2 linked regions of the Rhinolophus ferrumequinum genome follow. The protein of the gene in region 1 purifies or fractionates together with the protein of each later gene. This does not show direct contact. Links are inferred from orthologs where the notes say so. Each region holds a gene or a part of one and is shown in the gene's direction. Other genes may lie near its edges.

Region 1 (7,389 bases):
GTGTCCGTGATTTGCAGATGTTTTATTCCCCCACCTGTCCCAATTAGATCTGAGCTTTGAGTCAACCTTAAGCCCTTCTTGGACTAATTTGGAAAGCCTCCAAGAGATTGCCACCATTGGATTAAGTCCAGTAAATGTAGTTGTCTACGTTTTCAAAAAGATCATTGACAAATGAGAACAAGTATGTTAGGAGCTTCAAGCATTTGACATTATCTTTTTGTTGTTGCCTCAGCAACAGATGCAGATGTGGACGCTGATGATGTAGGCACATGATTGCAGATATACACAGGCACATAAGCCTACAAGAGAGATTCTCTGGATGATTTTATGCTCATGATAGTTGTATTTTCAACACTGTAGTTTTCAAAATGCTAACTTACAGTTACATAGCATTTTATAGTTAACAAAATACTTGAAAAGACTTTTTTTTCCCTGCTGCTGTACAAGAAAGGTGATTCTATCTTCATTTTACAGATGAAGTCAGCTCAAGGTTTGCCCAGGCAGATAGAACTTGAGCTCGGGGTCTCTGACTTTTAGGAGACTCATGTGATTGATTTTCAACTCTTCTATTTATTGTAGCTTTATTGTGGGAAATGAACCGTATAGATGTGCATAGAGTTACTTCTAATATATCAGCATAAGTAAAAATAAGTAAAAGTGTAAAGCAGTGGCAGTTAGAAGGTAGCCTGTGTGTAAGTTTGTATGTAGTTATACTGGAGTCCTAAGAGCCAAGACAAGTTTTGTTGGTATTGAGCCTGTGCTGTTGTGTCCACATACGCCTGAATCCGCTGAAAGGAGAGGCAGAAGGTTAGAGTGAGGTGTGATACTAGGTGCCCAACTCTGCACCATGCCCTTACCAAACTCATGGTCTAATTGGGATGACGAAACTGGAGTTTAAGGTAGGATGTAATCAGAGCCAGTCTGGTACTTTTATTGTGTTATTTCCATACCTCACAAAACCCTTAGTTCGCATTTCATAGGTGAGAAAATCAGGACTCAGAGATGAAATCTTCTGTTTAAGTCATAGACAGCCAGGGACAGAGCTAGGAATGGAATCGTCTCTGATATTTCTGACACCAGGGCCTGCCCTCTTCAGTGCCATGTTGCTTCTTTAAGTACCAATAAATGTAGTTCCAAGTTCAGAGAAGTAAATGGGATTTGAGGGGTTAAGAAAGAGGTAGGATCTGAGTTGGTCACTTAAAATGAGTATAATTTTAATAGCTAGAATGGCAGAGAAGGCACGCAGGGCAAGAGAAAATGGTATGAGTGAAGTCAGAGGAATTTGCATGCCTTGTTTGGGTGATGCTGAGGAGAGCTCTCTGGTGGAGAGGAAAAGAAGGTTGGGGGGGTGTTCAGGCTGATACTGTCTATTTTGATTTCTTTGTACTCTTTCTGCAGGGAGGTCCTGGCCAGTGAAGCCATCCTTAATATTCCTGACAAGTCTGACTGGAGGCAGTGTCAGATCAGCAAGGAAGAGGAAGAAACCTTGGCTCGCCGCTTCCGGAAAGACTTTGAGCCCTTTGACTTTACTCTGGATGACTAAGCAAAGGGAAAGGCACTTTATGAACTTCACAGGAAGTAGTAGCAGCCTGTTTTTTAAGAAACTACAGTCTCCCGTGGGGACTGTTTTCCTGCCTCTTTTTTTGTGCATTCCCATGGAACCTATTGGTAGCAAGAGGCCTAAAATTGAATATTTTTTGGAAAAAGTCACATTCTAGGAGGAAAATCCTATATTCAAGGCATGTCTGTCATCCAGCTCCAAATACAGCTTTTGTTTATCAACATTTTCCAAAACATTTAAACTATCAAATAAAATCCAAATACTTTCCCGTGTTTGGGAAGTGCCTGATGTTCATGTTACCTGTAACCACTGAAATAAAGTCGTGTGTGTGTGTGTAATAGGAGGAGCCGGGGCTTTAGGCCCAGCTGTTATCACAGGATGTCACAGGTGGCTTCTCCCTGAGCAACCCAGGATGGAGAAGGAACCCAAGGCCTTTGCCATTTTTCTCATAACATTCATTTGTTGATATGAAAGAGCTCATTCATTTCTTCAGCAAATATTTAACTCCTATGTGCCAGGCATTTTTCTAGGCTCCAGGAGTATAGCCATGTCCCAACATGGTCTCTGTTGTCCCAGAATTTACAGTCTAATTGGGAAGAGAAAGGGCAGATTTAAGATAAGAAGATGAGTTCTGCTTTAGATATGCTGAGTTTTAGATATGTTGAGTTCTTGCATAGTTATAAACTTATGGAGATCTGGATTGGAGATCGGGCTTTGGGGATCATCAGGGTATAGGCCATAGGTGAAATTACGAGAATGAATGAAAAGATAGGTTGAATACCAACCTAAGCTGAAGATGACTACCTTGGAAATAGAGTGATCCGACAAGTATATGGAGAAAGAGCAAAGAGAGGGAGACATCACAGGAGAATGTTGTATCTTGGAAGTCAAAAGAAAAATCATTGCTCCTATATATTGGGCACTAATGGCCCAGACACTATTTCACTTAATCCTCACAAAATATCTATGAGATAGGTATTATTACCTCCATTTTATACATGAAAAAAACTGAGACTGGCAAACTTGAAGATTCTGGAGCCTGAGGTCAACCGGCCCAGGATTTTAAAAAAGAGCTATGCAGTGTCCCTGTGAATGGGGATGTTAAAGAATGAGCTTTAGGAAACAACCAGGTTCCTGCAAAGATGGCCACTTCAGGGTCAGCTCAGTCATCAGTATCCTCAGGTCCTCAGCATCTCTTCCCTGGCTCTTGCAAATGACAATAAGGAGATTTTGGCCCCACCTGTGGAGATCAAACACACTTCAGTGCTCATTATGCTGTACACCTAGCAAATGAGGGCTTCAGAGTATTAGGATAATCTGCATCACAATCATTTGTGCAGTTTGCCTGGGTCTAAAGGATGTGTTCTTGGAAGTACCATTTGCACATCACCTCCAAGTCTGATACTCCAGCTCCGTGGCTACCAAGCATGTATGGGAAACCAGAATTTCCAACACCACACGTTACTGATGACCTATATACCATGACTCGCTTCGTATCATGCAGTGTTCAACAATCTGAGTGCACTATTCAAGGATTTTGGTGACAATAGACACATTGGCTTTGCCAAAAGCCTATTCAATGCTTTCAAAGCAACCAGTGACATTACCATGGTGCACATGCTGTACCCACCTTTAGATGTTTCAAATGCTACATCTGTGGTACAACCATCTGTGATAGATACAACCATCTATCACAAAGTGTTAATTGGAATTCCATGTACTGAGTTCATAGGCAGGGGTGTGCAAATGATCAAGTGCACACCGTCTCAAAGGAGGCTCAAATGACCATCCTTAACGCCAACTGACACATTTCTTGAGAATTTGATTCCAAGCTGATTGTTATACTTGGAGTAACAATGGAGTGATTAATGAAATCCCCAAGTCCTATGAAGCTATGACCAACTCAGCAAAAACAGGAAGCTGGTTCCCCTATGCTAAAGCAATCAGCCACTCGGAAACTCTTCTTGTTGCCCCAACAGCATTCCCCAAGCTTGCCTCTGCAGCCTTGCATCACGCATGAAAAACTCCCCACAATGAGGAACTACCTCACTGGCAAACCCGTATCTGGAGCACTGTTTGACAGGGACAAGATCCCGAAGTCAGGAACAGGAACGTTCTTTACTCGGGAACGGCATCACATCCTTGAGCCGTTTGGAATTACAGGGGAGATCCTGGGACAGGTATATAGGAAATAAAGCAAAAGAACAGCTGATCCTGACTCTATGGAACATGATTAATCATTTAAGGAAGAAAAGATGAACTATTAAGTCTATGGAGGCCTTGTTAGCGCGGGATTCTTTCTAGTTCTTCGGCTTCCGCCATATTTAAATCGGTGGTGGCCTTCGCCAGTGCCAGCTCAGCGGATGGTGAGGTTGGAGAATAGATGGCAGAAGTCTGAAGAAAGGTGAAGTCTAAATAGGGGTGGAGATGATGTGAAGTTGAAAAAAAGACCAATACAAGACAGACTGTTTTGGAAAGTGATTTGAAGGGAATGTAGGGCCTGGAGAGATCTTACATTTTTGAAGACTGGGGAAAAAACAAGTGGGTTCTCTCAGCTAGGAAAATGCCCAGGGTACTTAAGAGAGCGTATTGAAAGCGCCCTACTCCCCCCACCCTTTCCCCTGCTGAGGGGCTTGCGGCACGTTGGGAAAATTTGGGGCGGAGCTTTCCGTGTGGCAGTTACCGGAAGTGATGCATACATCTCGCGAGAAGAAAGACGCGCGAGCCTCGGCGGCCCGGAACCGGCCTTGGAACGGTGGCTGAACCTGAGGCCGCTTGCCCTCCCGCCCCATGGAGCGGCCCCCGGGGCTGCGGCCGGGCGCGGGCGGGCCCTGGGAGATGCGGGAGCGGCTGGGCACCGGCGGCTTCGGGAACGTCTGCCTGTACCAACATCGGGTGAGGCGGGGCGCGCGAGGGAGCGGCGGTGGCTGTTTGTCAGAGCGTCTGTGGAACACAGTGGCTGTCAGTATGTGAGATTGTTGGTGTTACCTCGGGCAGTACTGGGGGCCAATGAGCGTGTGTGCGTGTGAGAAAGAAAGAGATTGAGATTGTGCTTGTGGTTACTGAGTCAGGTTGTATCTGGGTCAGCGTGTGTGCGTTAGCGTTATTAGGAAGAACTTTTGGTATGAGTGTCAAGATGTGACAAGGTGTTTACCGAATGTGACGGTGCTTATGTGTCTCTGAATGTAAAGAGTGTAACGGTGTGTAACGTAAGGCAAATGCACATGAGAGTGTGTATTGTGAGCACAAGTGGGTGAGAAAATGGGGCTAAAGAGTGGGGGGGGGCTGCCTGTTGGAATGTGTGTGTACTTGGGTGTGCTTGGAAGCCATGTGTTATCGGTGGGACTGGAGTAGACAAGGTTTCAGGGTGGAAGCGTTTGGAAGCATCGAGTAGGCTTTGGAATTGGGGATGCATTCCAGATAGGAAGCTGTATGAGGATCAGATGGTGAAAATGATCGGGGCCTCGCAAGGGAAGGAGATAGATTAGGGGTGAGGTGCTCTAGTCGTTGGCAGACAGCTAACATCCAAGTCGGGAATTGGCGTTGATTTAATTGAAAATGTTTAACCATTGTAGCAGCAGTTAATAATCATGTTTGAGCTATGCATCTTTTGATAACCAATAAAAGATCTGAACCCTTTCCCCAGAAATATGCACAGAGGCACGTCCGTGCAGCCTTATGCATTGCCATTTGAGGAAGCTCATGTTCTCCTGAAAGACATTCACAGACCTTTTAGATATATAGACCCTGGACTAGTAATCCCTGCAGTATAGCCTTTGTTTTGTTATCTGTGAAATGGTTACAATAATGTCTACTCACCGTGAGTCTGAGAGTTAAAGAAGATAGTAATATGTGTAAAGCTAAGTACAGTACCTGGCCCATGGAAAGCCCTCAAACGTTTGCTCTCGTTGTTGCTGTGTTGTTGCTGTTATTATCATCTTTATCATCATTAATTGACCTGCAAAAAAGGAAATGCCAAGATAAAAGTGTTCTTTTTTTGTAAAAGATAAATCTGAGTAGGAAAACATATGGGACAAGCTGACCAGTTAAGCTATTACTGCCGTAAAATGCTTGCAATTGGCTTGTGAATGGAGAAGTGAATTCAAGAAGAGAAATCATGATTTGCTGTTTTAAGGAATGTGGGTGTGGATAGAGAGCCCATAGTATAGGATGGGACTCCATCTGGGAGGAATAGACATGTTTGTGTGGCAGTTACAATGACGAATATCACTGATAGAACCGAGGAAATTTTATGAAGCAGGTTTCTGGATAGAGCATAGGAGGAAATCTTGGTGAGAGGGAGAATGGAAGGCGAAGGACTAAGGCATTAAGTACTTTGACAGCTGGACAAGTAGTAATTTAATAATTCTCGCCATCAGAGAGGACATAAGGCACTCAAAAGGAAAAGAGAGGGAGCGATGTACTTCTATTAATAGCAGATGTTGCCTTTGGCCTTTGTATTTGAAGCCTGACCATCAGCCTGGTCATAAGAAAAATGTACCACTTCCCTGAAAATAAGACCTAGCCGGACAATCAGCTCTAATGCGTCTTTTGGAGCAAAAATTAATATAAGACCCGGTATTATGTTATGTTATACCCAGTCTTACAGTAAAATAAGACCGGGTCTTGCATTACTTTTTGTTCCAAAAGACGCATTAGAGCTGATTGTCCGGCTAGGTCTTATTTTCAGGGAAACGTGGTATGCATGCTGGCATGGTTTTGTGACTGCTTTTCTTGGTCCCTGGATGGGGACCAATGAATACATGATTTTTTAAAAAAAAATTGTGGTTAAGTATATATAACATAAAATTTACCATTTTAACCATTTTTAAGTATACAGTTCAGTGGCATTAAGTACATTCACATTGTTGTGCAGCCATCACCACCATTCATTTCCAGAACTTTTTTATCTACTGAAACTGTATACCCATTAAATAAGAACTTCCCATTTCCTCCTCCCGCGGGCCCCTGGCAACCAGCATTCTACTATCTGTTTCTGTGAATTTATCATTTTTTCAATGAAAGAGATTTGAGTCCTCTAGAATCTTAGAAATCTCTCAGAAGCTTTCCAGGTGTCCAGAGTGGACTTCCCCAAAACTGGGACATTTGACAACTTGGCCTGTAGTGAAAGAAAGAAATACTTTGTCGTAAGACTTGGAAACAGCATCACTACTCTTCCAAGCCTGACATAGGGTTTGCATTTACAGCTTTCAAGATCCTAGTGTTTTGGTGGAAGCCACATCCCAATATTTCATCTACACCTCTTAAATCACAATGAGGAAGAGAAAAGGATGTGAGAGTTTATTTAGCTGATTACTGTTCTGGGTGCTGGTGCTGATGGTGCCCAAATCAACATGAACAGTATTTTCTGCCTTCAAGGAGATTTCAAGTCTAGTGGGAGACACAGAATCACTTTTAAGTACATAAACACTTTTAAGTACAATGTGATAACCTATATAATGAAGGTATTTGTAAAGTAATATGGAAGAATGGCAAAATAACTAAAAACTCTTCTTAGGGAATAGGGTAGCACTTCTGAAAGTGTGTTTGGAAAAACTAATCCCGTGAAACTCTTTGAAAAAATTATACTATGGTCAAATACATTGGGTAAATGCTGCATCTATGATATTCCTTCATTTGGAGAGTCATAGCCCACGTTAGTATGTTAAAAGCTCTGAGAGGTCCTATAGAGAAGAAACTAACTTAGTTGCTTTCCAATTTTTTTTATTGTAACATATACATAACATTTATCATTTTAACCATTTTTAAGTGTACAGTTCTGTGGCATTAAGTGCCTTTATACTGTTCTGCAACCATCACCACTATCC
Region 2 (7,538 bases), on another chromosome or scaffold:
TTAATATCTAGTACAGTCCACTCCTTCTACCAATAATCTTTCAAGCAAACAAAACTACATTCCCACCTAATACAGTCATTCCCTTATTCAAATGAAAGCATGCATACCCTATCCCTTAAATCTTTATACCCATTGCTATGCGATGTTCTTTCCTCTTCTGTTTTAGTCACGATCCCACCTTAAGATACTCTAATGTAAAGACTAAGTTATAAAATTAACCACCACCAGCAAACCTCATATAAAAGGAAAGAGGAAAGCCATTAAAAGAAGTTCATGAATACATACAAAAACAAAACAAGGAAAAAAACATGCACCGCTTCTATGGTGCTTCATTCTGAAACTGGTCATGAGACCATCATTGGTGTTTATAATTTCCTCTTCATTGGTTCCCTTTGCCCTTAGAAGTCTCCCCAACTACATAGTAGGGCGATATAAATCAACAATCCTGAAAGAGCTGAGACCTTAACAGTCCTGCCTGTGTTGGACAGCTTTAGACTTCCATCAACATTTATCATTGAACATGTAATTACCAGAAAGAACCTCAAAGAAACCTCTGGGTTGAAGACATACTCATCCTTGACTCCACTGCGTGGCTGTATCACTATTTGCCCGGCGTAATTCACATCAATCAGCCCAGTTGCTAACTTCCTTATTTTTGTGATGACTTGATGGCATGATGAACCTGTAAAATCCAGATGCACTCTCAAGTTCCTGCGCAAGGAACTATGTGTCTCCTAGTGGAGAACAGCCCAATGTCATAGGAGCAAGAAAGCACTTACTTTGCAAGTGTGTGATTAGGTTTAATTGTGGGAGACAAGCTTTTCACTTCTACCGTTTCCTGGTCTCCTGTATTCTGGCCGTGAAAGAAACAGCAACTTGGTTTAGAGCATATATTGTACTTGAAGGACTGTACACTCAGCTTGCTGTGTTGTCACCTACCTGGGGCTGTAACTGAGTCTTCAGTACTCCATCCCACAGTCTTCTAAGGCCAGCTGCTTTTTGGTGGTGATGATCATAATAAAACCATTGATCCCATGGTAGTCAGTGTCTGCCTTCTTTTTCTGCAAAATGGGTTCCTTAGTGAGGTATAACATGATGGTGAACAAGATATTCAGGATGTCCAACAATGATGGTGTTGGCAGAAGCACTGCAAGGAAGGAAAAGCAAATCCATAGCTGGAATACATGTTTACTCCACAGAGGGCAAATCCCTGCCCACTCCATGATGGAAAGGTCGCCACGTAACCAGTCTGCCACAAAGTGACTGGCTGGTCTTCCTTGGAGTATGAGAATCCACACTGGGGGCTCAGGGTTGGTCTGTGTTGTTGACACGCTAGGTACTCAGCAGCCTGGATGGGAATTCCCTGTTGATGAACTCACATGTATCATCCAATTCCTGCTGCCATTGCCTCTTCATTCATTTTGAAAAAACACTGGGGTAGCTGGGAAAGCTGACATCCATAGAAGTCGTCTTGCCCACTTGCTTCTCAATAGCCTCCTCAGAAGTGCGTGCCTGTGGAGGTGAACATTCACAAGAGAACCCAATATGCTCCTAACTCTGTGTCTGTTCTAAGTGGTTCACCCACATCATTTCCCCCAGACCTCCTTATCATCGACCCTCTGATCTTGTTCCTTCCAAATGTCTGAATATCCAGCTAAATGGTTAGCCATTGGTTCTGTCCAAGCCACTGGCTTTCTCTTTTTCCAAGTGACAACTAAAGGTACTGCTCAAAATTCTGCCCACTGGGAAGATTTCCTTTCTCCCACTATCCTTTAGGACCACCTCCCAGCGGGGCTATTGTAATACCTCAATCCACTTCTGATTAATGGCAGTGTGTTGTGCTTCATTCGAATATTTCTTTCTCAATCATCTGGCCACAGGAAACTCCCCATGAGTTCAGAGATTGGGTTGATAGAGCAGGAGTGATAGAGCCTTAGATAGCTGCTCGTGTAACATGCCTGTGGACTAGCATCTTTTTTGAGTCCTAAGAATGTCGGGACCAGTTTATCACCACTGAAGATCTTTGGTTATTGAAACTTTCTGATTACTGCTCTGACCCTGATGCCCTTTCTTTGGGGTTTAAGTGTTGCCACATGGCCTTTGCTACTCTGGGAGCCATAGTACACATTGAAATCAGGGAGCATCTCCCATCAACATTCCCCACCAGCAGTGGTCACCATTCATTACAGAATTTTCAAGGATGCTGATGCTCCCCCTCTCCAATATATTTCTCAATGCCTGGTGAAAGAGGATCCTTTGGATTTTCTTGGGGACCATGTTTAGGGAGTGAATGAATAGGTTGCATATGATTAATCTATTCCAATGTTCCTCATTCCCTACATACTTTTTTTTTATTCATTTCAGGTGTACAAAACAATATAATACTTAGACATTTATATCCCTCACAAAGTGATAACCCCCCTCCTTTTGATTTCTTCCTCTGTATTACTTGACATCACAGTTTTACTTAATGTGTGCCAACCCTGAGGCCAGATTGTAATAAACCAACTGAACAAACCATTAGAGCCATTCCCCGCTGCTGGAGCCAGCACATTGAGTGCATAATCTAAATTATATTTATTTTGCCTTGTTACCTTTAGAACCATTTCCATGCATATTTCCTGGGTTTCTGCTGGGGAAAAAATTAGTAAAATCTTGCAACTCTTTTATTGTGTAAACTACCTCCTCTGGATCAGATCTTGTCGGTATCCATTGGTGGCATCCTAGCATCTGATTCTAGTTCTAGGAGTGAAGGAATGAGGTAGGATGGGACATTTGGAGGTGACTACTTCAGGATCTTCAAGCTACGTAGGCTGTACCATCCTTAGCAAACAAAGGTGGAAGGACTGTGGACACTCAACAGAATTTGGGAGGGCAGTGGTACTTGGACTCATTCAAATCCATCCAAGTTCCCAGGGCCTCATTCTTTCCCAATCAATGCCCTTAATGTTCACATAAAAGACTTGGTGAGGCTACATCTTAAACTTATATTTTAAAATTCTGCTACCTGCGGCATCAGGCTCTGCACCTGATCTTTACAACATCTGCCCTGAAGCTCCATGTAAGAGGTTCTTCTGGGGCAATCATAAAAGTTTGTGTCCTCTGACGGTACTTGAGCTTATCATTTTCTTTTCTAGGCTCTCTTGGGCAGTTCCCGGGCTTCAAAATGTCAGGAAACGTGTCATTGCTATTGCCATTGCTTCTGCCACAGCCACCCCACTGCCTGAGGCTGGCAAATGGATTCCTGCAAACACCCACCACTGCTGGAGCTTTTTGCTGCCTGGAAATGCCACAGAAAGATGGCTCTGCCTCCCATCTACTCGTATATTCCAAACACCCCACAAGTGCTTCACATTTGGGAGACTTAAATCATGTCCAAGACCTAAGCTACAAGGAAAACGTAGTTTTTAGCCATTGATACCCTGCAAAATGAGGGGATGTAGAAGAGAAGTGGAAAAGGACTCCTGGAGCCAATGCGCAGTATTTAATGTATACTTGAGGTCCAACTTAGGACCACCTCTCTCTTTTACTCTAGCTAAGGTGTTAAGGGTACAGACTCCTGCTTCTAATTTTAGCTCCCTCTGCTTACTAGCTGTGTTATTTAACTTCTCTGTGCCTCAGACCTAAGTTTCATCATCTGTGAAATGGGCACAGCAATGGCACCTACCTTGCAGTGTTGTTGTAAAGTAAGTCCTCAGCACTCTTTAGTCACCGTGTCAATGAATCAGTATTACTCTGGGAGTGTGTCATAGTCCATTAGGTGAGTAGGATTTCTTATAAATCGAGGACTATTGATGAGGGCTTTGGTAGTAAACTCCATGAGGTCCCTTAAGGAGCAGCAGGTGGCTCACCTAACTGCTGGGCCGGTGCTTGGTAGGTACAGCGGCTGGCAAGTATCTGTTGAATGAGCGGTTGGATGGGTGCAAACAGACAGAAGGAAGATTATTCCCCTGGCCAATTCATCCCCAGCCTTGTATGTGACCTGGCAGCAGTGTGGAAAGGAGACCGAGTGCTTTGGTGTTTAGGGGCCTGACCTTGAACTGAATGCTAGCTTTGCCACTTTCCAGCGGCAAGACCCTGGGCGAGTTAATTTACTCAGTTTCTTCTATTGTAAGATAAGGCTGATACTATCCACCCTGACCCCCACCCCCAAATGTTTGCGTGTTAGAGGAAATGGGATGTTTGATCCTGGAGCCTAGTTCAGCGAGTGCCTGGCGCGCCACGGGCGCTCGGAGACTTCGGTGTCCTCCCCACCTCCTACGGATCCTTACCTGTACCCGGTCCTGACAGCCCCAGAAGCCCGGGTGGGGATACAAGGGTCTGGACGCGCGCCCAGGAGCAGGAGCGGCACGTGCGTGCCTGCCGCGCGGACTCCCAATGGAAACGTCAGTCTCCAGATCCCGGATCCAGTAAGGACTAAAACGGGAGGGGGCCGGGCGGCCGCAGCGGAAGGCGGAGTCCGCAGAGAAAACGAAACTGAGACCGAGGTGTCCAGATCGGACAGTGCCTCGGGAGACAGTGACGGCGCGAAGTAAACTGGGCGGCGGGGCGCCGGGCAGCGCGGGAGGCGGCGAGGGGCGGAGAGCACAGGGGTGCAGAGGCGCGCGCGCAGCCCGCGTCCTCCGTCGGCTGCGAGGCCCCTGACTCCTGGCTCAGGCCCCCTGGCGAGGTGCGGGAACCTTTTCGGACCCGGGCAGCGTGCTGGGAACTGAAATCCATTTTCTTCCGGTGAACAGTTTTTATCACAGTAAGTAACGAATAGCCCAGGACGGCGTTGGGGGGCGAGGGAATCGAGTGGAAAATAGATCGACCCTATGACTTGACAGAGAGATGGGAAATATGCAGCCCTGAATTACCTATAGATTGGCTCTGTAATCCCTGGCCCGAAATCTCTTGCCTAGACAGTTACACTTGTTTCCTAATTGCCTGGCTTCCCCCTCCCCAACCCCTTTCCTGCCCCCCTCCCTTCCCATTTCGACCCCTTACACCCTCTTCCCCCTCCCCGCCCCCCCCCCCATACTTCTCAACACCGTCTCTGGGCTCACAGGCAAGTCCCCTTATTCCCTCCATTCGGACCGCACTGCTGTTCTTGACACGCAGCCAAGCATACACCCCTGCCTCTGGGTCTTTGCACTGCCAGTTTCTTCTTCCTGGAAAGCTCTTTCTTCCCTCAGATACCTGCATAGGCCCATCCCTCAGTGTCCCCTGCATTTCTTCAGTGTCACTCTGTCAAAGCAGCTTTCCCTGAACAACCTGCTTATAAGAGAAACCCCACCCGCCCCTCCCTGTCACCCTTATTTTACTTCAGTTTTCAATATATCGCTCTGATTTTTTTTTATGGCTTTGTCCGTGTTCCTCCACTGGTAAGTTCACCGGAGCAGGGTTTTGTTCACTGGTATAACCCCAGCACTCATTAAATAGTTGTTTAATGAATGGTAATTCATAAATTCTCTTTTGAATTCCAGAATAATGAGACTTCCTAATACCTGTGATTTCTTTAGTACTAAAAATGCCTTGCCAGTTAGAAGCTAAAATATACACTCTCTGCTGTCATTTAGGAACTTAGAATCTTGGGCAGACTGTGCTCTTTTTCTTCAGTTTGCTTATTTGAACCTGAAGATCCACAACACGTGATCTCTGGTTTATTCGTTTAATTCATCAGATACTGCTTGAATGCATGTTGCATGCCAACCATTGTGCAGGCCCTGGAGGGGGCTAGGCCGGCAGACGCTCACGTCTGCCCTAAGGGGAATGCCAAAGTATCTTCTGGGCAAGAGTAAAATGGACACATAACCGTTTGTTAGAGATTATTGTGGTGATTTCTTTTAGGGAAATGGTAACTTAGTATTAAGACAACTATGTATTAAAAGTAGTTAAAAAGAAACCTATTTCTTTTTCCCCAAAACTTGTAAGTACTTTTCAAACATGCCAGTTCAGTACCTTATTAGTTTACACGTATATTTCACTTAAAGTCAAACTGGCTTGTCATTCTGCTGATCAGCAGTTAAGAGGTAACAGTGCTGAGAATGTAAAAGCATTTGATAGGACTTCTGGTTAAGTAATTGCTAAGGACTCTTCCATAACTGCTGTTCTGAGATCTGTGACCCCCCCTCCAATTTGATGTATGGTCTCATGGTTGTGACTAAACTAAATGAGACTTTGGTTTCTGAAAATAATGGTACATCTACAGACCCTTATCTGAAACCCTTGGGCCAGGTGTGTTCTGGTCTTCAGAGATTTTGGATTTTAGAAAGGCAATACAGCATACACCCTGTCTATTACGTAATGCTCTCAGCAGGATTTGGGGGTGACACTCTAGGTATAATGAAACATATTTCTGCAGTGAAATGTATAAATAGGCACCAAAGTATGATACAGACACTCAATTGATCATGCCAGTTTAGGTTTAGATAAGGGGCTACAAATCTACCAAAAACAAAACAAATGAAAACAAAGAAAACCTTAGTTTTTCAGTGCTTTTTGGATTTTGGAATTGCAGACCAGGAGCACCATTTAGTGGGGCCCACCAGTGTGCCAGATGCTTTTCGTCTGATTTATTCCTCACAACAACCTGTGAATCAGGTGTTTTTTAGGTCATGAATCAAAGACTCAGAGAGATGTCTAGCCCAGATCTCTGTGGCTCTAACGCCTAACTCTCTTCACCGCCCTCAGCACTGACGAGAAGGTATTGCCTTTGCTCAGATCAGGGCACTTCTAGCACCTCGCTTCCAGCCACCACCATTGCTCACCACCGTTGTTCACCCAAGCCACTGCCACAGCCTCTGCTTGGTCTCCCAACTTCTACTCATGCTCTGCTTCCCCTTTCCATACCCAGCATTCTCCGTACTCTCCGTAGCATCGGAGGGGTCATTTGAAACATCAATCCAGTCACATCACCCCTCTTCTTAAAATCCTCCAATAGCTTCCTAGTGGAGTAACATCCATACCCTATAAGGGCTGTGTGCTGTGGCACCTGCCCACCTCTCTGACTCATTTCCTACCCTTAACCCCTCATTCACGGTGCAGCAGTCCCCTTGGCCTTATTGTTATCCCTCCAAAGTCTGCACTGGCTCCTGCTCCAGGGTTTCCTCTGCCTGAGCTACTCCTCCCCCATATATTGGTATGATGGGCTTTCTCATCATTCAGGCTTGATTTAAATATTCCCTCCTAAGGAGGCTATTCCCTCACCACTGTATCTAAAACCACCTCCATCATATTTCTGCCCCCACCTGCCAACTCACTCTCTAAGATTCCATATCTCTGTTTAATTTCATCATAGCACTTCTCGGTCATCTGGCCATCATAATACCCACTCCTGTTATTTATTTCTGCACATGTTCTGTCTTGTTTATATCTGTATACTCAGTATCAGAACAGTCCCTGACATTTGATAAGCACTTACTGAATGAATGAAGAAAAGATGCACAGAAAACAACAGGCGAAGAAAAGGGAGAAGATGAGAAGGTTTAAAGGGGAGTACTTAATTTTAATTAATCATTCTCTCATTCAACTATACACCATCTTAGTGTTCAGCATTT

What was found. Proteins that work in one complex are often made in the same cells at the same time.
Region 2: the proteins of CHUK (region 1) and EIF2AK2 purify together in Homo sapiens (affinity purification with western blotting; 3 studies listed by BioGRID). This does not show direct contact. The link is inferred for Rhinolophus ferrumequinum from reciprocal best matches to the Homo sapiens genes CHUK and EIF2AK2.

Annotation. Positions count from the first base shown.
Region 1 is NC_046299.1:24,311,468-24,318,856, forward strand, and holds the start of CHUK (inhibitor of nuclear factor kappa-B kinase subunit alpha), read left to right. Parts: upstream 1-4,281; 5' UTR 4,282-4,351; coding exon 4,352-4,456; intron 4,457-7,389. Other genes in the region: CWF19L1 (CWF19-like protein 1), read left to right, coding at 1,399-1,543.
Region 2 is NC_046296.1:46,183,699-46,191,236, forward strand, and holds the start of EIF2AK2 (interferon-induced, double-stranded RNA-activated protein kinase), read left to right. Parts: upstream 1-4,491; 5' UTR 4,492-4,747; intron 4,748-7,538.